4 linked regions of the Schizosaccharomyces pombe genome follow. The main gene of each other region encodes a partner of the protein of the gene in region 3 in a complex. Each region holds a gene or a part of one and is shown on either strand. Other genes may lie near its edges. The genes, in order: rsm25, mrp4, fyv4 and mrps8.

What was found.
Region 1: fyv4 (region 3) and rsm25 share a complex: the UniProt entries of both Schizosaccharomyces pombe proteins name them as parts of the mitochondrial small ribosomal subunit.
Region 2: fyv4 (region 3) and mrp4 share a complex: the UniProt entries of both Schizosaccharomyces pombe proteins name them as parts of the mitochondrial small ribosomal subunit.
Region 4: fyv4 (region 3) and mrps8 share a complex: the UniProt entries of both Schizosaccharomyces pombe proteins name them as parts of the mitochondrial small ribosomal subunit.

The regions. Positions count from the first base shown.
Region 1 is NC_003423.3:4,290,396-4,295,735, forward strand, and holds rsm25 (mitochondrial 37S ribosomal protein mS23), read right to left. Parts: upstream 1,568-5,340; 5' UTR 1,294-1,567; coding exon 631-1,293; 3' UTR 501-630; downstream 1-500. Other genes in the region: nucleoporin Rae1, read left to right, coding at 1-77; PPR repeat-containing protein Ppr7, read left to right, coding at 3,202-5,178. UniProt on the Schizosaccharomyces pombe protein: Component of the mitochondrial ribosome (mitoribosome), a dedicated translation machinery responsible for the synthesis of mitochondrial genome-encoded proteins, including at least some of the essential transmembrane subunits of the mitochondrial respiratory chain.
Region 2 is NC_003424.3:3,063,541-3,068,865, reverse strand, and holds mrp4 (mitochondrial 37S ribosomal protein uS2m), read left to right. Parts: upstream 1-2,599; 5' UTR 2,600-2,656; coding exon 2,657-3,448; 3' UTR 3,449-3,540; downstream 3,541-5,325. Other genes in the region: sgd1 (ribosome small subunit biogenesis protein), read right to left, coding at 1-84, 132-452, 496-2,159, 2,209-2,278; SPOM_SPAC24C9.09 (threonine--tRNA (Thr) ligase), read right to left, coding at 3,675-5,099. UniProt on the Schizosaccharomyces pombe protein: Component of the mitochondrial ribosome (mitoribosome), a dedicated translation machinery responsible for the synthesis of mitochondrial genome-encoded proteins, including at least some of the essential transmembrane subunits of the mitochondrial respiratory chain.
Region 3 is NC_003423.3:3,430,853-3,438,667, reverse strand, and holds fyv4 (mitochondrial 37S ribosomal protein mS41 ), read right to left. Parts: upstream 5,001-7,815; 5' UTR 4,943-5,000; coding exon 4,849-4,942; exon of another isoform or gene 4,799-4,848; coding exon 4,551-4,798; 3' UTR 4,441-4,550; coding exon of another isoform or gene 4,108-4,440; 3' UTR 3,841-4,107; coding exon of another isoform or gene 2,296-3,840; 3' UTR 1,160-2,295; downstream 1-1,159. Other genes in the region: syj1 (inositol-1,4,5-trisphosphate 5-phosphatase 1), read right to left, coding at 1-1,115; plasma membrane pantothenate transmembrane transporter Liz1, read left to right, coding at 2,296-3,840; SPOM_SPBC4B4.12C (uncharacterized protein), read left to right, coding at 4,108-4,440; autophagy-associated protein Atg5, read left to right, coding at 5,478-5,576, 5,663-5,781, 5,828-6,002, 6,074-6,466; U1 snRNP-associated protein Prp39, read right to left, coding at 6,694-7,097, 7,167-7,454, 7,492-7,815. UniProt on the Schizosaccharomyces pombe protein: Component of the mitochondrial ribosome (mitoribosome), a dedicated translation machinery responsible for the synthesis of mitochondrial genome-encoded proteins, including at least some of the essential transmembrane subunits of the mitochondrial respiratory chain.
Region 4 is NC_003421.2:329,082-334,189, reverse strand, and holds mrps8 (mitochondrial 37S ribosomal protein uS8m), read left to right. Parts: upstream 1-1,623; 5' UTR 1,624-1,706; coding exon 1,707-2,165; 3' UTR 2,166-2,710; downstream 2,711-5,108. Other genes in the region: ago1 (argonaute), read right to left, coding at 1-53; tfx1 (translin family protein), read left to right, coding at 3,746-4,441; DNA-binding transcription factor, CBF1/Su(H)/LAG-1 family Cbf11, read right to left, coding at 4,729-5,108. UniProt on the Schizosaccharomyces pombe protein: Component of the mitochondrial ribosome (mitoribosome), a dedicated translation machinery responsible for the synthesis of mitochondrial genome-encoded proteins, including at least some of the essential transmembrane subunits of the mitochondrial respiratory chain.

The sequences.
Region 1 (5,340 bases), 860 kb from region 3:
CGCAATTGCCCAATAAAATCATGCTCCACCCTGTTCCGCAAGACGAAATAAAACCTCGACCTAAGAAAGGAAGGTAAATGATGGTAATTTTTAGAGTCTACATAGGTGAGATGGTGACCAATCCTGTTGAGGCATGAGTTTGGTTTTTTTGATATGTATCTTAACTTTTTGTTTGGGAAAAAAAGTGGCATTTCGTGATTCATGACTAAAATCAATTACTGGCAATCGTTTAATATTAGAAAAATTTTTCCTTTCCTGACAAAAAGTGTTATGGGTATAGACGCTATCATCTTCTTATCTATGTTGGCTGCTCAATAAATGATGAACTTTTTTTAAAGCACTTTTAAAAGTTTGGAGCGAAAGTTCGCTAGCTGGCTAAACGGCAGTGTCATCTGAAAAGCTTGCTATAGCTTTGAATAATATTTATAATATATATATATGTATTCAAATAGATGGTAGAAATTTAATGTGTTCTGATAGATTGTTTTAATTTGAAGACATAAAGAGATGAAAAATATCTGTTTTATTTTTGAAAGGGGATAGTACTAAGAAAATTCTGAAAAAAAAAAAAACAAAACAAAAATCAATTTTTGAGGAGACAATATGATATATCAGCTGTGAATTTAAATACTACTGAGTCGTCTTAGAGATATCTACACTCGGGTCTGTGAACTTTGTACGATTAGCCTCAGCGTATTGTGAAGCATTATCAAACCAAGAATTTAAAGCATTTTGATCCATTTCATAGCCCAACTCCAGATCAGATTTTGTAAATACAGCACCCAATGCTTGAGCCTGATCATGGGCAACGCGTTGCTGAATTTCTTGTTCAGCGCGTAGGTGATAAAATTCCTTTCTTGCTTGATCATAAGCATTTTCTACAGGCATGTTAGAGTTTTCAATCAGCCATAAAGTTCTTTGCACTACACTCTCGCCAGATAATGCTTTGCGCGGTTGATCCATGTGACTCCAATCACAATATTGCTGATCATTACCGTCATTTTCTGCAATGATTTGAGGCCTTGCTAGTTCCCAAGGATGATCTCGATAAAACCTTTTACGGAGTTTATCTTCTGGCCATTGAATTTCCTGAGGCTGATACATTGATTTTCGTAACCGTTTACCACGGGATTTTACCTTATTTGGATCGTACAATGGTACAATACGTCTAGCATATTGAAAGGTTGGGGGATGTTTAGCAACCGTTTCGTACCATAAAGACTCTGCTGTCCATGGCTTTTTCATTTCAGCTGCAAAGCTGCGTAGCAAACCATTTGCATTAAATTTCGGCATTGGATCTTCCTCCTGAAAAAGTTATTAAATAGTATATTAGTAAAATAATCAGTAATAGAAACGTGAAAATGGAAGTAAGGATTGAATAATGATTGAGATGGGTTAATTATGCAAAACACATCCACGGCGCTATAAATAATGGAGAGTATGACTTGAGGTAATAAACAATCGCTTATATGGATAGTCTGCTAAAAAAGTGAATTATAAGCGCAAGAAACCAACTTTTTTGGTGAAAATGGCTTCCAAGAGGAATTGGGCTGGCCAAGCTAGTGTTAGCTGACGGTACTAGTGTGCCTCATCTTAGTAGCTACTGAGTATAACCTAATGGTAAGATATTATGAATATTTATTTCAGAACACACAAGGATACGAACACTATTAATGAAATAGTTATTTATAAATTTAAACACATCTATTGCCTTTTTTTTGCTAAGATATGGCTTGTTTGTAAATTCGGAATTTAAACTAAGCGATTGTTCATCTAAATTAATTTTATGGATTGAAAGTCCCTATTATTTTTTAGATATTTTTTTTATAATTGCTAAAGGTATATAGAGTTTATTGCCTTTATTTTTTTATATTTTTTTATCAATCGTTAACGCCATAGGAAAGCAAGTTAAACTGCTTAAAAATTTTTTAATACTTAAAAATTTTTTGTTATGGAATAAACTTTTTTTTTTTTATACTTTTAATTTTCACTGATTTCATTAAATATTTACCGGCAGCCGTTAGAATTATTAATAACAATGGTTCAAAAAACTCCAAAAAAATTTTAAGATTAATTAGACAAAATCAATTATATGTTTCGTAAAGCAAATTAAATGGCTGTACTGTATTTGTGAAGCTGTATGCGTATTTGCTAATTTGATTTTGTCATAAACTGACTGAGTAAATTAGCGCAGCAAATGCCGCTACACCTAGCATGTTCTGAAGTGAAAATGAAGTGCTGCAAATATTTAAAGCCATTGATCGTACAGTATTATTATGAATGGACATCAACTACTTGAATTCTTGCCTGCTCATACATTTTTAGCAGTTATTTTCATTTCTTCACTTATAACGCAGTCATATTTATACTCCGTATTTGATTTTACCTGCTAGCTGGCAATCTCAATGCTAGAATACGATATTCGCTTCTGGATGATGAGTGTTATATAACCTAGGTAAGGTTAATCTGTAGCTTATAACGAAGAAGTAAGGTAAATAGACTACACTTGTGTTCTTTGACGAAAGTGTATTCGATGATATTGTAAATGCTGATTAAATACTAATGAGTCAACAAACGTGCCTAAATGCTGGTTGCATTCAATGCCATTCCTATATATGATGATGGCCGATTGATCGTTATTCATTAGCGATTCTTAAGAGGATCGATGAATGATAGTTTAATAGTTTAGAGGGATATTCTGCATTTAATTATATTAAGGGACCTCTTTTTTACTCATGAATGTTCTTTCCATGTTTACACAATAACGAGCTATTATAACAAAATAACGTAAATAAACTATAGCGATGGTTTCCGTTAATTCACTAACGCTGCCTGTTAATGAGGAAATAGCAATCTTAGGTTTTGCTTAGAACCCAACTTCGCAACGTTGGAAGGTTTGCTCAGTTAGCTGTATTTATACCACCTTCTGTTTTTTGGAAACCTTGGATGAAATGTTTAGATGCATTATTGAGCCTTTTCGCACAGTTTAATGTTTGAATTATCGCATCATATAGAAAGGGAACGGAAGTATATGCATCATCTCGTATCGAGTTCTCGTTTTCTTTTTTTATCAAGTACCCCCTTCTCTCATTAATAGTGATCCTTTTAATTTGATTATCGTTTCTTTTCTTCATAACGCGTCTTTTCGTTTCCACGCCTCTCGTTTTGGGGACGACTTTTGTCTGCTTGCCAGGCTAAGAGATGCGAAATTGTGTATCTCCACTACTTTTTGCATGGACAAAACATTTACGTTTAAGGGAATTTAAAATCCCTTTCCCAAATCGTCTTGTTGTGCGGTCACTAAACCAGCTTAGCGTTCATCATGAAAAGGTAACTGGGTGCAGGCCTCGACAAGCGTCTTCTGATGAATTACATAAATACTCGAAATCTGCTTCAAACGAAGCATTTCTCTCAAGTTTTGCAGAAAATCAATTATTTCACAAGTGTTTGCCTTCCAGCGCAGGTGCTGTTCTTAGTGAAAACGATTTAATGTACATTATCCGAAAAGTCAGTGAAGTCTATGCTGATAATAAAACTGAAAAGGTTACTGTGCCTTTTGACAAACATAAAAACCCATTCCTAATTTACGTGAAAAAACGGTTTGCCGAATGTTTTGATAAAAATCCTGATCTTTGCCTCATTGTGTATTCAAAACTGGAGGTTGAAACGTTGGCAAAAATAACTCCCATTTGGATTAATGTCGCCAAAAAAAATAAAAAAGAAGATTTTCTTGTTGAACTCTGCCTCCGTTTTTTAGAACGATTCCGTTCATGCAATTTGACTGAACAAGCAATCTTATATCAAAATTTTCGAGAAAACTGGTGGAGTAACATTAAGTTACCCCAAAATCTCAAAAGTCTGTACGTTGAATTGTGTTTGGTGTATCATTTCCATAATTCCCATCTTGGGATGGATTCCTCTACAGTCTCTAATTTAAAACGCTTCTGCTTCTCAGAGTCATTAGGTCATATATTTGCTCCTTTGAGATTCCAAAATCAACAGCTTCCTTTGCAACACGTTTATGCGTTTTTGTTTTCCATAGCATATCGTGATAACCAAGTTGATACTGCTCATTTTCTTTATAAACAGTGGTCTCGTGCAGGCATGGGACCATTGCCAAAAGATGCATTTATAAAATTTGTACAATTACTCTCAAAAAACCGTAATTGGGTTTTAATGCGCGATATTGTTCAGCTGGAAGAATACAATAGTTATCTTCTCGACCATCGAATAGTTTCGGCATTTCTTAAACCATTATCAGAAAAAGGTAACTACAAAGACATACTGAGTCTGATTTCAGTTTGGCAGCATTCTGTTTGGCGACCTTCATTGGCGTATCTTCAAGTTGTTTATTCTTTTTCCATGCGAGCTCTACTAGTTAACCGTCAATACTCTTCTGCTTTTGCATTTTTCTGGAAAATTGACCCGTATATTCGAAACGAACGTTTAGTGTCTCAAATGTTACAAGCCGCAAGTCAGCTTCATTATCACGATTTAATTTTATACGTTATAAATACCTACTATTCTGGTAACATTATGAAGAATTTGGGCAACAAAGATTTGATTTGTATAACGCAAAGTTCACCTCCTTGTAATATATCTGGAATTAAGCCGGGAAGCTTAAAGTTGTCTCCAACCACCAATACGGTTTTAGCGAAATCGATTTGTTACTGGCTGAACGATGCCATGGCTTTGCTTTTTTTATTAGAGAATCAACTAAATTGCAAGCATTCCCTCTTTCAGAGAAAGTCTCTTATAATCCTCTTGAATGGTATTCTCAATTGCCCTCATTCGTCGTACGACCTTCAATTTCGTGCTGTGTCTCTCCTAACGGGACGTATAAGGCTGAATGTCGATTTTGAGGTCTCGGTTTTGGCGTCCCAACTCGTTTTTTTTGTCAAACATCGAGATTTTAAGCGTACCTTAATTACCATGAAAGCTATATCCAAGTTGCAAAAAAACTTTGACGTTCGAATATGGAACTATTGGCTGGTTGCCCTAATTCAGCAGAAGCTTTATTCTAGAGCCGTTAAAGTGTATTCCAAACTTATTTGTTCTTCCGCAGTACGAAATGATACAACTCGCTCTCTGATTCGACTCATTCCCAAATCGTATTTCAAAAGTTATCCTCTCCTTAAAGAATCAGAGACCGAAAAAAAAACAAATTCTGCACTTTAACTGCGTAATGTTTTTAAAAGTTCAAGCTTTTGTGAATTATTAACTTTTATTATTAATTTCTCCACTCTCTTACAACACCTTGATGTACAACATTTCCTTGGTTGTTGATTTCATGATAATTTGCCAAATGATCCGTTCATTCACTCATTCTGCTCTTTTTTT
Region 2 (5,325 bases), on a different chromosome or scaffold from region 3:
GTCTTTAACTCCCAAAATTATATCGGTAAAAAAGACCAGTAAAAACGTTTGCATTTGGGCATTAATGGCCATAAAATCCACATGCTAAAATTGAGTTAGTAATTACAATCAAATTTTTAGAATATACGTACTTTGAGGATAGTTAAGGGCTGTGCAGCTTCAATGACTAAAGACGCATAAAGCTTCGCCAAGTTAACTATGCGTCTCATGGATATTTCTCTTTCTTCACTATCATCATCTGGTTGTAGTTCATTAAAGAAATCCCAAAGAGAGAATTGAAATGACTTTTTCAAATTGTGCTGCAATGTACAACATTTTAACGCTACCAAACCATAAAACGGGTTATACAATTTCTCATTACCAACGCAATGCAAAATTACATAAGCTATTTCAGGTAATTGATTCCTTTTGAGATGCAACTTCAGCACTCTTTCCCATGCATCAATGTAGTCCTAAGTTTGTTAGTTTAAAGTTAATGAAATTTAGAACGAATACCTCTGAACCAACAAGGGCAACGAATATCGAAGTTCGAAGAGTTGAATTCAATCTTAACTTCTTAGCAGCTTGTAAAATTTTTGAATGGGCCGTCAGTTCTTCTGATTTTTTCTTATCCTGTAATGCTTCAGTAGATAATGTGTTGTCACCAGATGGAACATTATTCCAAGAAGCTCCAACAAGCCACCATCGACCTTTCGTCTCAATCTGCTCAATATCTTCTAAAGTAACTCGTAAAGGCTCTCTAGCATTTAATGAGCGGTTGCCTAACGAACCCAAAAATTTCTTTAGCTGATTTACAGCTTCAAATTTAGATTGGGCGCTAGCATTGGCAACTTTTGTTTTTTTGTTTTCTTTAAGATTAGTGATCGATTCTACCATAAACTTTGTACGGACAGATATGGTTGATGGATCAGCTGAAGCTAATAACAAATTCATTTCCGTAACAATATCTTGGAGAGACGTCGGGTCATCTGATCGCAACTGCCCTCCACAATTGAGGACAATTTTGAGCAGCATTTCAACGTTCAATTCGGTTAAAGAGCGTAAAAAAAGGCGAATCAAATCATAAACAAGAACACATGAAACAAGTTGAAAATTATACAACTCAACAAAAAATACAATCAAGTTAGAAGTCTCCTTATGGGAAGAAAGAGGTTCTTTCTCTTTTGATTTATAAAGCTGCAAAAAACGTTCCACTAGGGTTTGCAATAGATGAGCACCAAAGTCATTGCCTACAATGCGGTAAAGAGCAGTGGCTAACGCAGCATATACTATGGCCAATTGATCTAGCATAGATTCTCTTCCCATTACGGTTTGTAGTAGCAAATTGGTGATGGTAGACGTGACTGAGTGTCTTGAATTTTCCATGTAAAGGACTTCAATCTCCTTAATAATTGAAGAAATATTTGCGATAGACAATTTGTTTAGCGATCCTTGTAATTTCCGACGAAGTCGCAGAGCATCTTCTGACTCCTTATCTCCCCCTAATTTTTTCCGTAAAGATGGAGGGACATACTTTGAGCCGACGTTCGCATTAGGTAAGGATGGGACTGCAGGCTTCAAAGGATCCATCCGAATCGGCTTAGTTTCAGGTTGATGGAATTCATCAGAATTAGACTCAAACCCATGAAACTCTTCCTCCTCCTCACCCGAATTTCCTTCCCTTTCACTTTCCAACTCATCAACGCTACCATGGTCACCTGTATCGTCTGAAACTTCAGAGTCTTCTGAATGACCATATGAAGGATCTTCAGTGCCCGGAACGCCTATGTCATCAATTTCTTGATCTAGGTCTTCTAAAAGCCATCCAAATTCCTTGTCAATTTTTGAGTGAGCAGATTTATCTTTGCTTTTGATGCCAAGCATCTTTTCTAAATGAGCGATTTCACGATCATCCTCTTCCAAAGCAATCTTATGCTGAAAAGCAATGGGATCGAGTAATTTACTCTCCTTTGCCTGTTTATTCTGTGAAGATTTTTTTTTTGTAGATGACTTTCTGTGAGCATCTAAGTAATCATCATTAAGTTCAGAAGACTTACTATCACCTTCTTCTGTAATCTTCCGGTTTTCATAACCATTTTTTCCTCGAGAGATCCTAGCAAATTTTCTTTTTTCACGATGAGGTAGATTATGATTTCGCTTTCCCCGCCTAGCACTCGAATCTATCAATTTGGTTAAATATACTGACCAAATCTATAAAAAAAAGCTTACCAGATTCTCCTATCTCTTCTAAAATACTTTTGGGCAGTTTTAAGCTTCTGCTTTTTTTAATTGGCCTCATACTATCGAATGTTTAAATATTAAACAAACGATAATTAATACTAAAGCTCAAGAACTACCAAATTTTTCAATTAAACGATACCAAAAACTGGTATAATTGCTTTACAAAGAGAAGAATTGGGCCTCAGTCTCGAGTTGGCGTATCGTTTCAAATGAATTTCACAACACTGCTAATGGAACTGTATACAATATCGCAATTTGTTAATGCTATTTAAAGTTGTCACTCTGCTGCTGTATTTTACATTAACGCTCTATGTAGTATCACACTAATAAAGCATATCGAAGTGGAAATGTTGCAATCGTGCAGCGATTTCAAAGTCTTAAAGTACTACTACACCAAACGGGCTTTCATTTTGCTCGAGTCATTCGTGTCTGTATTATGCTTTCACGGAAATTATCACCGGAGCAACTTGTAGCTCGTCGTTTAAAAATACGTGACTGGAATCACAAAATAGGTGCAGTTGTAGCTCCCCATTATTCACCGACATTATCCATTCGAAATCCGGCACCTCCTAGTCAACTTAGTCTTCCTTTATTGTTGTCTTCTGGTGCTCATTTAGGACACTCTACATCCATATGGAATCCTTACACGCAGCCCTTTATATATGGTAAAAGAGAAGGTATTCACATAATATCATTGGATCAAACCATGGTTTACCTACGAAGAGCTATATCCGTCGTTAGATCAATAGCTAAAGAAAATGGAATTATATTGTTCATTGGCACCAGAAACGGCCAGAAAGATTCTGTCGTTGCTGCTGCCAAACGTGCTAGAGGTTATCACATATTTGATCGTTGGCTACCAGGACTTCTCACCAATGCCAGAGAAGTACAAGGAAAGCTTGGCGGTTCAATTTTATGTAAAGATAATAGAGGGAAATTGATTCAAACTGATAAAAAACCAAGTTATGTCTTTCCTGATTTGATGGTTATACTAAACCCATTAGAAAACAAAAGTGCTTGTCTAGAGGCACAGAAAACTCATGTTCCAACAATTGGAATCATTGATACTGATGCGGATCCAAGGATGGTTACCTATCCTATTCCAGCAAATGATGATTCTTTACGGTGTACAGATTTAATAGCTGGTTTACTGAGTAGGGTAGCTGAGCAAGAGTACCAAAAAGCTAACCAAGCCTTCGAAAAAGATAAATTTACACTTCCTTTATGATTCCCCTCTCATTGTTTTGAAAATGCCTGTATTCTTTGATTTTTCTAAACATGATTAAAGATAAGGTCTGATTAATTTTCACTAGTATTCAATAAAATTAATGATTCGTAAACGAAAGGTTAAAAAGAAAGAATAAATTATTATGGATAACGTATATATCACATTTCAATGATTTGATGCCAAAATTTTTGTTAAAGACAGACATATTTTGCTGTGCGAAAGGAAATCATCGGTATGCTTTCACATTTTCTATAAACTCTTTTTTCAATTGTTGAATAGTCATCTTTCTAGTATCCCTTGAATTATGATTGTGTCTACTAGATACACTGAGAATTTCTTTGTCAACTTCGTCTTCTCCAATGACAATTTCATAATTATAATTTAAAAGTCTTGATTCACGTAGCCGTTTGCCAATAGATTGTGCTTCAGCGTTTATGTCCACATAATAGGTATTTTTATTGAGTGGGAGAAATTCAGATTCATTGACTTCCTGATTAGACAATTCCTTTTGTACTTGCTTAGCATAAGTTAGAATTCGATCTGTTTGATTGACTGGTAAAATGACAGCATGTCTAGGACTTAGCCAAAATGGCCAGTGTCCATTTAAATGCTCGATAAGGATTCCCATAAAGCGCTCTAAGGATCCAAATATAGCACGATGAATCATTACAGGTTGTTTAATGAGTTTCTCAGACCCGGCATTGTCTCCCGCATCTGTGCGATAATATAATTTAAATCGTTGAGGTAAATTAAAATCTAATTGAATAGTTGCCGTTTGATGCCACTTTCCACGAGCATCTGCAACCATTACATCGATCTTAGGACCGTAAAAAGCACCATCTCCTTCATTGATGATCCACGTTTCACCACTTTCTTGTAAAGCCTCTCGCAACCCGTTTTCTGCTTCATTCCATGTATCTAAAGAACCGATATGCTCTTCAGGTCGGGTGCTAAGGTATAGTTTTAGTTTGTTCATTCCCAATAAAGAATAAACTTGCTTCACAAAAGTGAGAGTATTTTTTATCTCGTCTTTTATGCTCTCGGGTGAACAAAAGATATGACCATCATCTTGATGAAAGCATCTTAATCTAGTTAGTCCAGAAAGTGCGCCTGATGCTTCATTCCTATGTAATGGACTGAAATCTGCAAACCGCAAGGGTAATTCTTTGTAAGAACGTTCAGTACTAGCATATACAATACAATGTCCGGGACAATTCATAGGCTTTAATCCATAAGTGGCATTGGAATGCTCATCCTCGACATTACGGCTTTCTTCAACACGAAATATTTCTTTCTCGTAGTTTTGCCAATGACCACTTTTTTCCCATAAGTCCTTTTTAAAAATTAAAGGCGTTATAATCTCTTCAAACCCATGTATTTGATATTGAGCTCGTAGAAAATCAACTAAACGATTATATATACGCGTTCCGTGGGGTAAAAAAAATATTGAACCGGGAGTCAGTATACTTGTAGTATACAATTTTTGGCGAGCTGCTATAGTACGGTGATCATTCAAAGTTGATTCGGGTTGCTTGAGGTTATTAGCTTTTGTAGAAAAAGGCGTTGGCCCGAATCGGGCTGTGTAAATTTCAACCCGATTGCATGAATGAGCGAATGGAGTATGCAATTGAAATTTTTTTAATTTCATCATTCGTTAAATCTATAAGCTTTCTTTTACTATTTTTTCATCAAAATGGTAATTGGGGTTTTCAGATGATATACGTATAGGGTACTTTGTATACGCTATATACGATAAATGTTTAAGTACCCTTCTAAACATACTACACGTTCAACAAAATACACCTCAACAATTAAACTACAAGAAAAAGAAAATATTCATTGGATCTAGAAAGCATACTACTTTGATCACAAGTACA
Region 3 (7,815 bases):
TAGTCAAACTCCGTTAAATGTATTAAATCTTTTTCCGGAGAAAGTTGAATATGCTGTCTCAGACGCTCAGATAAACTGCGTTCTCCCGAACCTGTCCCTAAAAGATTGATTATGTGCACTGGTCCGTATTCTTCAATAAGACTGGTAAAGTGTTTTTCAAAAGCAGCTCGAGTTGCTTCTAAAGAGCGAGTTATATCAATTTTTTGACCAAACATTTGAACACCTTCTTGTTCCCAAAAAATTGGAATACTGCCACGGACCTGACAATAGCTTACACAGTATTTAGAGGAATCGAGGATTGTCTCCGTCTCAACAAAGTTAGCAACGTTTCCATCATCATCTACGCCACGTGACAAGAATCGGGTACCAGCGCGAAGCGAAGACAGTCTAGATATTAAAGAAAGCCGAATAGTCTGAATTCCTAACTTAAATTGTTCGGTGCTCGCAAAACCTCTGATGGCACATGTAAAGAAGCGACATCCATCCAATGCACTCTTTTCATCCCCATTCAAATGGGAGCGAAATTTGATCAACTGTCTAAGCATAAATTCGTTCCACATAAATTGAGTATGCATGCTATCATATTGAGGCTCCGTCATTGTTTGAGACGTACGAAGTTGCAGTCGGGTAGTAATGTCAAAATCGAGAGAAAAGTAAAATGATCCATTTGTTAATAGCTTTCTGAGACTACTGAATGGTTCAGCGGCATACTTGTAAGAATCATAGCCTTGGGTATCGGTATCGTAACCATCCGGAATATCAGGCGAGTAATTTTCTTGTCGAATGTGATCCCAGTTTGAACGATTAACACTGTAAAAGCAGACCTCCATGATACGAAAAACTCTTTCTTTATCTCGCACACGTGCTACCTCACTAGCTCCACTAATCACGCACAAAAAATTGGACCCTTCTAATTCAATCAGACCTAGAGTACCATAAATTCGATGACTGGAGATTTTTCGAAATCCTTCTAACGGCTTTTCTGACAATGCCGTAAATTCTGCAACACATACTGATAAAGAGTTTTTGTTCTGAGGAACCGAATGAAACATAAGAGCATGGTCCTTATTGACTAAGGCCAAGGATCTTGGCTTTTCCCTCAGCAGACATTGCATCTTAAGATTCACAAATGTGAACTATAAATAATAAAATTCGTTCTGTAATGAACGATGCAAGTCTTTACCAACGATGTTTGTCCGAACAAGTTATAAATCTTGGGATACGAAGTTGGGTGGTGTTGGGTGACAAAAACGTTCGTTACTTAAACATTATAGAAGCGCTTCTGTAAATTAGAATAAGTAAACGGCTTATTTTAATTTACTATGTTAAAATGTATTCCAAAAAATTTTGGTTCTAATATATGGAAGTTTCTGGTCAATTTTTAAAGTGCATTTGCTTTACAAAACTCGTAACCCTTGTAAACATATTTCATTGATTATGGGTAGAAAACCATTGAAACAAGAAAATCATAAGAGAAGCGATCTTGCTAAAACGTAACGTAACAGGATTTCAAGGCACTTCCATAAGATTGGTACTGTCAAAAAATGTATTATAATTCACTTTCGTTCATCAACAGTGCCATTGTTAATTTCAAAAACACCAAGTTGCACAAGAATACAGCGGTTACTCCAACGTATTAAAAATAAAAGTCAAACAGATACAGTATTCGGCAGAAAAAACCCCCATCTTAAGAGCTAAGATTATTTGAGCTCTCCGAAGATGTTCGCTGACGCTGAATAGCTTCAACTATGGCAATTTTTTACATTTCAAATGTGTTGGTTACTGTAATAGTATGTTTAATCTCGCAAATAGTGGTTATTGTATTGTAGCCACTTGAACCGAATGCTTATTAATTGAAAGGTTAGATGTTTTTTGCAATACAGTTAATTTCCACAAATAGAGCAGCAAAGTATAGTACTCATTGTGGCTACGTCGAGAATAAGTATCCAACTTGCTAGCCAATTCCGAGTAATCAGCGCACATCTAAAAATTAAGATTGGGTTTCCGGCATTGATATTGTCACTTTTTAGAAGGCTCGATCGATACTTATAATCTTGATTTTTCAGAAAAATTAAAGAAAAAATTTTCCTGGCTGGAGCATATTGATATTCCAACAGTCTGCAATTCGATTTTGACTCGAAGTGTTTGTTCCTTGCTTAGGTCCCTGGCTTTACTTTAATATAGGCACTTTTCATGAGAATCCATTGAAATTGTACGTTTTCTAAAGCCATAAAAATTTAAGTTAGGTCTCCTCTGTAAATTGTCGTGAATATTTCATAAGTGAGACAAGTCGTAATGGCGTTACTAAATAGGTTGGCAAAAACCTTTTCCCCTTATTATGGATTAAACAAAGTTGAACAAAAGCTTTTAATAAAAATAGATTGGTTCATACTTTCTTACTGTTGCGTTTCATATTTTATTAATTACTTGGATAGATCATCAATAAACAATGCATACCTTAGTGGTATGCAAGAGGATTTGAAAATGCATGGTAATGAATTGCAAGATATAAACGTTGTTTTTACATGTGGATACATTATAGGACAATTGCCAGGTTCTTATGCATTACAGAGAGTACCAGCAAGACTTTGGTTTTCGGTTATGAATATTTTATGGGGACTTATGACGATTTTTTCATTTGCGGTACATTCCGTTCGAGCATTGATGATTTTACGCTTTTTCATGGCGGTTGCGGAGGCATCTACATTTGCTGGTACGCATTATATATTGGGCGCATGGTACAAAGAAAGTGAACTATGCAAACGTGCCGGAATTTTTTCAGCCTCTGGTTTAGTCGGCACAATGTTTGCTGGGTATTTGCAAACAGCAGTTCATTCATCATTAAATGGTAAAGGTGGTTTATCTGGTTGGCGTTGGCTTTTTATAATTGATGGCATTTTGACGATTCCTCTTTCATTATATGGGCTCTTTCTGTTTCCTGACGTTCCAGAAACAACCAAGGCTCCTTATTTTACAGAACAAGAAAAAGAATTAAGTTTCAAAAGGCTACCCGCTCGCCCCAAGAAGAAGCCATTAACGCTAAAAGCGATAAAGGATATTGTACGTTCATGGCGAATTTACGGTTTGTGCATCCTTTGGATTTTTAGCGGAGAAACACAAGCTATAGCTGTCAATGTATTGATGGGTCAGTGGATGAAATGGAGCAACAAATTTTCTGTTGCCCAAATAAATAATTACCCAACTGTGATTACAGCTGTTGGCGTAGTATCAACGTTAGGTGCTAGTGTTATTTCTGATAAATTAGCTGGAAACCCAAGATGGCCTTTTGGACTTTTTCTGTGCGTAATTACTACTGTTTCTGCTACAATACTTCTAGCATGGAACGTGCCAGATGGCGCAAAATTCTTTGCTTATTTCGCTTCTGGTTGTACATATGCTGGACAAGCAGTTTGGTTTTCTTGGGCAAATGACATTTGCCGGGATAATGATCAGGAAAGAGGAGTTGTTGTGTTTTTGATGAATATGTGTCAGAATATCTGGCATATTTGGTGGGCACCTATAATGTATCCCAATACTGATACGCCTCGATTTATAAAAGGATTAATTGGTTTGCTGGTGGTAGGAGGAATAGTCTTTGTTAGCTCTTGTATTGTTAGTTACATGCAAATCCGCGATAAAAGAATTAAACGATCCATCCAGGATGCAAAAGATTTCGATGATGTATTCACTGAGCATGAAAGTTTAGAGTTAAAAAAAATAGGCAAAAATGATGAGGAATCACTCAACACAACTAATGCGGTCAAAGAAATTAGTTCTCCAGGGCTTGTGATAACGCGACAGCGAATTTCCATGCCAAAAGAAACGAATGCCCAAGATTAGTACTAGAAGATTAATGACATAGTATAAATATTCCTTATGCCTTTAAGTACACATTTAGAGTAAATTTGCTGTTCATATTGATATCAACCTAACATAAAAATTTACCACAGTTGGCTCATCTAATTGACCAAGCCCTTTGACGCAAACGCAAACGAATACCTTTGCACACATACTCAAAAAGAATCTGCTAACAAACGATTTAAGGTGCAGCTGAAGTTAAAAATTTATAACCATTAAATAGAAATACCAACTATACGTATAGTTTGGATGGTATCCGGCAATGATCAACAAGTTATTGAGTATACATCAGTCCTAAAGGAATTTAGCGATGGTGTAGACTTAATGGAGCTAAAAGAAAATTTTTTATATATTAGGACTAGAGAAAAAATTGAAGCTAAATTAATCTGGGCAGGAGAGTGGGAATGGAAGCCCGTGAACGAAACAAATGAAAATAACTTGGAAAGAGGGAGACAATACCCTAGCGCCAATTCCGCACTAATGGAAAATTCTCCAGAATTTGCTAAATGGTTTCATGGACAATTGTTTAATCGGCTTTGCGTTCTAGGCTCCACATCTTCGTCGAGAAAAGACATGCTTTGAACAGTGTTGGCTATTTTAAGCAAATTTTAGATTAATTCGAACTCAAGCAAAAACTCAACTACAAAAAGAAGAAAGAATGTCTCAAAAGAATATAATATTCCATATACTTATTATTTACGTTTGCGTCGCTCACCTCCATTCTTTTTAACCATAACTGGATATGGCTTAACTATAAACCCTTCTTTAAATCGGTTTCTTTGGCTTGCAATGTATTTCCTTGTACGTACATCAATACCTTCCTTTTTCATAGTTTTTGTACTTTTCCTAAATAGACCATCCCAAGACTCGAATTTTCCGTTCACTTTTTCTGCAGTATCTCTTCCAATTCTTTTAAAGAAATCATTTGTATTAGAAATCCCTGAATCTTGTTAGGAATTTAAATTGCACTAATGTTTTGAAATCTCATACCTGATCTTGGACTAGGAACAGTAGAGGCATACCGGCAGTTAGAAAAAGGAAATATAAAATTTCTTATAATGAAAATCCTCTTCAAGATCAACATATTTACCAGTATTGTTTTAAAAATATTTGGTTGTTTAAATAAGTTGTGTACAGTTTCTGGAACGTATGCGAAAGTCTCACAAACGTACTAGCGACTCATAGTGCGACCATGTCAAGCTTAGTGCCTGCAATTATTAGCTATATAAATCCTTGCTTTTAATTCTTTTATGAGATTTACTGCATGCAAACTTTCAAGTCCCTTGAATATCTCAAACTTCTACTTCCGAAAAGTCATTACGTGTCTATTAACTAATCAATACAGTGAATCTACAAATTCCTAATTGCGGTTTTTGTATAGCAGGAACTCGTATTTTGAACATATAAATTACCAGTTATATTTTCGGGTGAATTTTTTGAAGACTCTACTATGTGTATTTAAAGCCCACTTACTTTAATTGTAAAAACATTAATTTAACTAATTATAGTGAATGTCTGACTCTAAGCTATTTATCAACGCATTCCAACCACCCACGAGTTTGTTAAGTATACAACAAAAGCACAATTTCTAATCACAGTATTGGAGATGTTTTTTAAAAATGAATGTCGATAATAATAAAGGCAATATTCCAGAGCTCCTTTGGAATGGCACTATTTCTGTGCGCATTGATTATGAAGGTAATTCTCTGGCCTATCTAGTATGTGATTTGTTCACTCAAGTAGTAATTTAATATTCTTTAACTCAATTTATTTTTTCCTTTTTGCTCACCATATTCTACCTAAGGCTAACGTCCCGCGACAATCATATTTTGCTCAAATACTCCCAAATGTTCAACGTCTGTTGGCACCTTCAATCCCTTTATCAGAATGTTGGTTGGATTATAATGGGGTTCCTCTTAAATGGTATCGTTTACCCAAAGTAACTTTCCGTAAATTAATCATAATATAGGCATTGGCCTGTTGGCTTACTTTTCGATTTGTTAACAGTGTTTGATCCGGATACTCCTCGAGCGCCGGTGCTATGGCGCATTCAATTGCGCTCAGGTCTATTTCCTACAACCAAAATACTTCAAATGGAAACCATGGATACTTTTCGAACATATTTTTTCAACTGCTTAAAAGAGGTGCGTTCTCTATCACAAAAACATATATGATTTATTTACAAAAGGGGTAAATCCATATTAACTTTTTACAGTCTGATTACGTTCGTAACGGAAGTTCGTCTGGAATAATCGCTCTTTCAAAGGCAGAAACAGACACCTACTGGAATGCAATACTCAATCATGATTACTATGATTTCCGTCCCATTGCTATAAAAATACTTTTTTCAAAATCCAAATTCATTCCTTTAAAAATTTATTTAGGGGCCAATGCTCCTATTATACAAACTTCTGCACCTCTTGGTAGTTCTCTTGGTGAGTTTCTCAATAAACGCCTTCCCGACTTGTTTCCATCATGTGATAAATTCTTAATAGTTAAACCAGTTATTCATGGTATTACAATTTTTCTTCAGAGCGTTTTAGACGAGCTCAATCGAGATTTCTGTTACATTGATGGGTTTTTACATATTGTTTTAATGAAAGTTTAAAACATTTACGTCTCTTCTCTAGCTCCTTTAGATAATTTGTTATTCATGTACAAATAATTTTAAGATTTGTATACCCATGCAGTCTAGCAATGACTTTACAATGACATTAAGGTGCGTTTGAGTACTCCTTTCCCTAAACAAACTGCTTTTTAAGAAGTAGGAAATGCAACGAGATATAGCATTGATAATTTGACTATGAAAATTTCTTTTTAATGAGAAGTCGTAGATTATGAAGACCCATTGGCAGCAACACCAGATGTTACTGTCTCAACAACACCCTGAAGACGGTAATATTTCTCATATGGAGATTCACCAGACTTGATTTTTGCTTCATTCACAGAAATACCAGGGTGACCGTTAGTGCTTAAAAGCCTAGTACTAACCTGTTTCAAATCTTGTCCTTCATCGAGCTTTTTCCAGTGGGATTCCCGTACACTAAAAGGCCCAAAGACATCTCGATCAATTAATAAGTATTCCTGTAAAACTGAAGGATCGTTGGATTGGTGGCAAAGATATTCCATGTATAGCTTTGTAAGATCCATTATCGTCCTTGGCGGTAACCTTGTTTTATTTCTAATCATTTCCATTACATTAGAGACACGGGCGTGATGTTCAGTATAGTTTTTGCTGTCTGGAAAATATGTAAGCCACAATGTACATTGATGTATAATTGAGTGTAAAACACAAAACAACTACTTACTTAAAGGCTGCTCTAACTCAAACCGAAGAAAAGATATCCAAAAATGACGGCAATCCAATAAAGCTGGTGCATTTTGTAAAAACATATTCCTTGCAAGTTCAATGTCCCCTTCAATTTTCCAAACTAGTTTGATGTCCTCCGTAATTAATACTTCAGTAATGCCTGTATTACATTTTCCTTCATTTATTATACTCCGCAAAACTGCATGTGCGTTGGTTAAATCGTAATTGGGGGCATTTCTTCTTTCTAAACCAACCCATCCTAACACTGCTTCGAGATTTCCAGGAACTATACGTTAATGTTAAATTTTGTAAAAATTACTTACGTTGAGTTAAAATGGACTGGTAGATTGCTTTAGCTGAAGCTATGTTGCCTTGGGATTCCTCAAAAAGAGCATATTGCACTCGGATTCCTGGTCTCGATATTGAAGCAAAAATGCAAGATGCACGTTCATAAATTATAGAAACATCGTTAAGATGGTCAGGTTGGGCTGACATCCACCTTGCATATCTGAACCAAAATTCATCATAAAGTGCACAAGTAATTAAACATCTCTCATACAAATGACATATTCTCTGAAAATCTCCCTCCACTTCTTCAAAGTCCAAATATTTTCTCCAATTAACTAGTTGTGCTTCATCGAGTTCTT
Region 4 (5,108 bases), on a different chromosome or scaffold from region 3:
AACCCTCCATAACCGGGACGTAAAGCTATTTCTGAGCTTGGTTTATACGACATCCTACTCACTCTGAATCATAAAGGACGAGTTGGCTGAAGACAATTCGCTTTGGCGGTTGGAAGCTTATATATACCAAACCCTAGATTAGGACTCATCATAGTTGTCTTGTATATAAAACCTACTTGAGTTATAAACTATATTAAATCAAAAAACTATCAAGAAAATATTTTATTTATCACTTTGTTATTTACATGCTTAATACATTCGAATTTTCTATATACTAAGGTCTATTTCTATACTTCTCTGAGCACGCAAACGCAACATAAGTCTTATTTAATTTCTGAACATAAGAAATATAAGCTTATCTTTAACAGCTTTTCTTAAATTACCGCATAATTTTGTATAGGTTTATGTTTTTTTAAAGGTTCCAAATCGACGGATTTTTGAGTTTTAACCCTTCTTTCTTTATATCGTGGTTGTGATTCAATAAAAGTGAACCCAATTGTTATTTGTAACCATTGACGAAAATTATAGTACATTGAATTACTATTTGTTTACTAGTTCTATATTAACAATACCGGGAGGTTCAAAATCAATGATTACTACTTGTTTTCTTTTTCTTGTTATATTTGCTTGCTTGAAATCCTCTTTATAGTTATAATACATTTTTACAACCTGCTTTTGAGAATATTAATCTGGCAACTTTCAAGTAAATGATTTCGGTAATTGCACTGATTTTTGAAAAGTGTTGATTTCGAACGTCTTTCAAATTAAAACGGACATTTTTTTATGAAATTAAAATGCCTTGTGCTTTGTGTAATACTCGTTAAACAGCTTACCGAAACTAACAACCTTTTTAAGAAGCGAAACTTAATTAAATCAATATATTATACTGAGTAAATCAGTAATTTCTGGACGATCGGCCACATAAAGAAGCATTATAAATCGTTCTCCATACTGTTAGGCTTTTGTTTTCAATTCACGTTTTCTTTTCTGTAATTAAAATATCAGTAAAGAATTCGTTATGCCATTATTTTATAAAAAATTTTTATAATCCTATACAATTGTGAATTTACATTGTATTCAAATGCTTTTTTACATCCCTATATTTTACAGGCGTTCGCTGTTGTACCGCTTGTTTTTTTGAACACTGCTTATTATAATTTTTTCGATTATTACATTTGCGAATACCTTTCGAGGATTTTGGAACTACTAAACGCACAAAAATTCGCTTCCCACTTCTGACAACTTTGTGGGTTTCATGGTAATTTGAATGCTATAATATTAACAGATTGACACAGCGATTTAGATCCATATTTTATTCTGTACAAAGTAAATCTCTAACATTTGGTAGACGGCTTTTGCCGTAATAACCGTTGGTTTTGCAATTTTGCGCCTTGTTTTCCAAACATAGTAAACCGGTGCTTTTAGTTTATTATATAGTGATTTATTGTGAACTTTAGTATCGTGTCGTTAATATACTACTATCCAGTGATTACTGCAATGTCCATTAACTTGCTAATAGTGTGTAACACTAGCTACACCGTTCACTACTTACTATTCTTCCAGTACAGAGAGAGGTATTTGGAAGTGACTAGCTAAACTGCATTCATACCTCTTTTCTTTCCTCAAAACACCATTCTGTATAGAAAAAAAAGGCTTTTATTGTTGGACTGCTTATAAAAGATTAGGATTGTGTTAAAAAAGTCGAAATGCAATTGCATTATGTTTTTTCGCATTTGCAAAATTCATTTCGCGCTCGCAAGTCGTTAGCAAGCGTTCCTAACTGTAACAGTGTGCTCGAGTTATGTGCTGTTTTGTATCATCAAGGATTTTTAAGCTCGATTCAACGCGGAGATATTCATGGACCCGATGCTTTACCCACAATCACCACTAGGCAAAATGTAGCGACCCGCCGTCTATGGTTGGGTTTAAAGTACTTTGAGGGAAAACCGGTTCTTCACTACATACGTGCAGTATCAAAGCCTAGTAGAAAGGTGAACTTGACTCCTTCTGAGTTGTTGCAATTTGCCAAAGGAAGGAAAGTTAGCTTTGTGAATGGGTTGGAGCCTGCAGAAGTTGGAATTGTAGAAACTAAACATGGTATAATGAGTATTGACGATGCAATTAAGAATAATTTGGGAGGAAACGTTATATGTCGAGTTAAATGAGGCTTCGATGGAAAAAGTTATTATTACGTACAACTTCTTTCCGGATACATTGTCTCCTTTCTCTATGTTAATAAGAGAATAAACATTACTCATTTGTTTTGAAAATTGAAGCAATATCTAACAGGCTGGTTAGATTTAAACTAATATGTTTAAGTTTTCCTTCTCTTCAGCTAAGGATCAATGGCAGAATTCCTTTTAAATCTCCCACTCCTTTCATAATAGTTTGTGAATTGAGATACTGCATATTTACACATCCCATTCATTAAAAAACATAGTCTTAATTCCCATTCCGCCAAAACATAAATCCTTTTGTTTTACTATTATTCGACTTGTGATTTACGAATAAATGTTTTTTTACACCTGAATTTATCCCGTCTCCTTTTGTCAACTCACAATATTCCATATGCTTAAAATTATACCCGCAGAAGCTTTTTTGGAATAGAAAAAATATTTGTGTTACTCTAGTAATGTAATGATAAACATGTTTAAAATACATAAGGAAAATCGTTTTATAAAATATATAATCGATGGAGATTGTATGCGACTTCTAAAGCATTGTGTAAATTAAATAAGGTTGATTAAGTACATAGGAAGTATTTACAAATGTATAATCTGTGAATGACAAGGATATGTATTTGTCAATACTGCATTTGAAAAATATATTATAAAACCATTATTAAGAATACAATTTATTTAGATCTATAATGACTATGGATAACAACTAGTCGCAATGGTGTAGTTGGGAGCATGACAGACTGAAGATCTGTTGGTCATCGGTTCGATCCCGGTTTGTGACACTTTTTATCAGCAATTACAGCTTTGTAAATAAAGCATTTAACACAATGAATTTTGTGCCAACGCTGAGTAGGAATAATATCTTTCTCTACATACTCTTTAACTGGGCAATCCTGGTAATGTATTTGAGTAATTAAGCAGTATTGAGTCTGTTTTCATCGGCATTGTTATTTAGTAAAATGATTGATTGATGAATGTACACTCTTTCGTTAATTGCAAGAATTTATGCTGTGATAAACAATCATTTGCGCCTTGGATTTTAAGTAGGCTAAGATTTATTTTAAATACTAATGATGTTGTAAATATAAAAAGGACGGGACTCTTTTTAAGAAATATAACTAAATAACACGTGGAAATGACAAAAAACTTGGGTAGTTATTTTCAGAATTGTTCAAGCAAAGCTCAAATTTCTTTCTTTATATATTTATTATTTTCACATGTTCAAGATTTTATTGTCAGAAGCAAATGGCTTTAGTCCACAGTAAATTTAAATAACCAAAAAAATTCATTATTCCTATTAACCGATCTTTATTAACAATATTTTCTCTTCATTCCATACATGGTCGATTGTCCTGCTGCAGCTCAAATCACTATTTCAATTTCATAGCACAGAGCCAACTAACCTTACTCAATGATCCACTAAACAATATTTCGTCTCTTAAACAACAAATAGTCATCTTGATTTGCATTTAATTCAATTGATAATATAGACTTATACATTTATACCTTCCACACGGCTTTGCTGAATTGAGGATATTATAAAACTTTAACCGAATTTGCCAAATATGGAAGAGGAATTCCTCTCATTTAAAAATTTTTTACAGGAGGATCAAGATAAGAGGGAGAAAATTATTCGTCTTTCTCGTGAAATCACAATTCAAAGTAAACGAATGATCTTTCTTTTACATCAAACATCCTCTTCTGATGGATTTCCTCTACCCAAGGATTTCGACAGAACATCCATTTTTGAAAAAAAAATTCACAAAGAACTAGAAAGTCTGAAGAGAGAGTTGGCTGGATTAAATGCAGACAAGTTCTCTTCTGCTTGTACACACGGCCTTCAAGAGTATGTTGAAGCTGTCACTTTCAAATTCTGGTTACAAACAGGTACGTTACTTTCTTGTAAAGATAGTAGCTTTAGAATTTCTATTAATTTCATCGACTATGTACTCGGTGTTTGTGACATGACTGGTGAAATAATGAGATTCCTTGTAACCAACGGCTCTAAGTTCTCTGTCCAACAACTCACTCAGCAAGTTAAATTTCTTCGTGGACTACACAAAAACTGCTCAGAAATTGAACACTTACCATCTAAGGTCAAGTCAGAATTACAGCAGAAATTATCAGTAATGGAGAACAGCATTTCAAAAGTTGAAGGAATTTGCTATAGTAAAATTTTAAGAGAAGCAGATAAAAGATATTTAAATTTGGAAGTGGATACAGCAACTCCTCCCGAGGAGAAACGATTACGGTCCACATAATATATGATCGACAGCTCTCGACAGACACCTTACTAGTTTATTAAAAGTTTTTCTGTTTTGCAGCTTTTGAAAATCATAATTATTAAGTACATATTTTCGACGATTCAATTATCTTATCAAAAGCTTCCGCTGCTTTCTATATGTTAGAGTTTCCATAAGCTAGGATGTTTGTACAATATAAAGTTCATTTAATAAGAGAGATTTCAACCTAATTCCATCATTTTGAAAACAAATTGTATTTCAATATTTCGCCATATGAAACCACACGTAAAATTAATCATGATGCATCAGTTTCCAAAAGCACTTGACGTTAGCAAAATCTCGCATTTTCCAATAATGACAATCCCACCTGGAATCACGAACAACAAAGGATACTTTTGTTCTGCACAAGAAGGATCATATGAAATTTGCGACAGACCTAGAGTGACCGTACCCATTGTACTCGTATCAGCAGCTGCGGTAAAACTATACGACAATGGTCCATGAACACCTAGCCAAATTTGTAATCCGACCGAATAGCCTCCAATTTTAAATTGTAATGAGCGCGAGCTCTCCAAATATTCGGGTGGCTCTTCAATATATGGATAATCAGTAACCGTTGGTACAGGATTTTGATTGAATGGTAACATCATCGTACAGTCAAAATGTGATATGCCCACTATAGTCC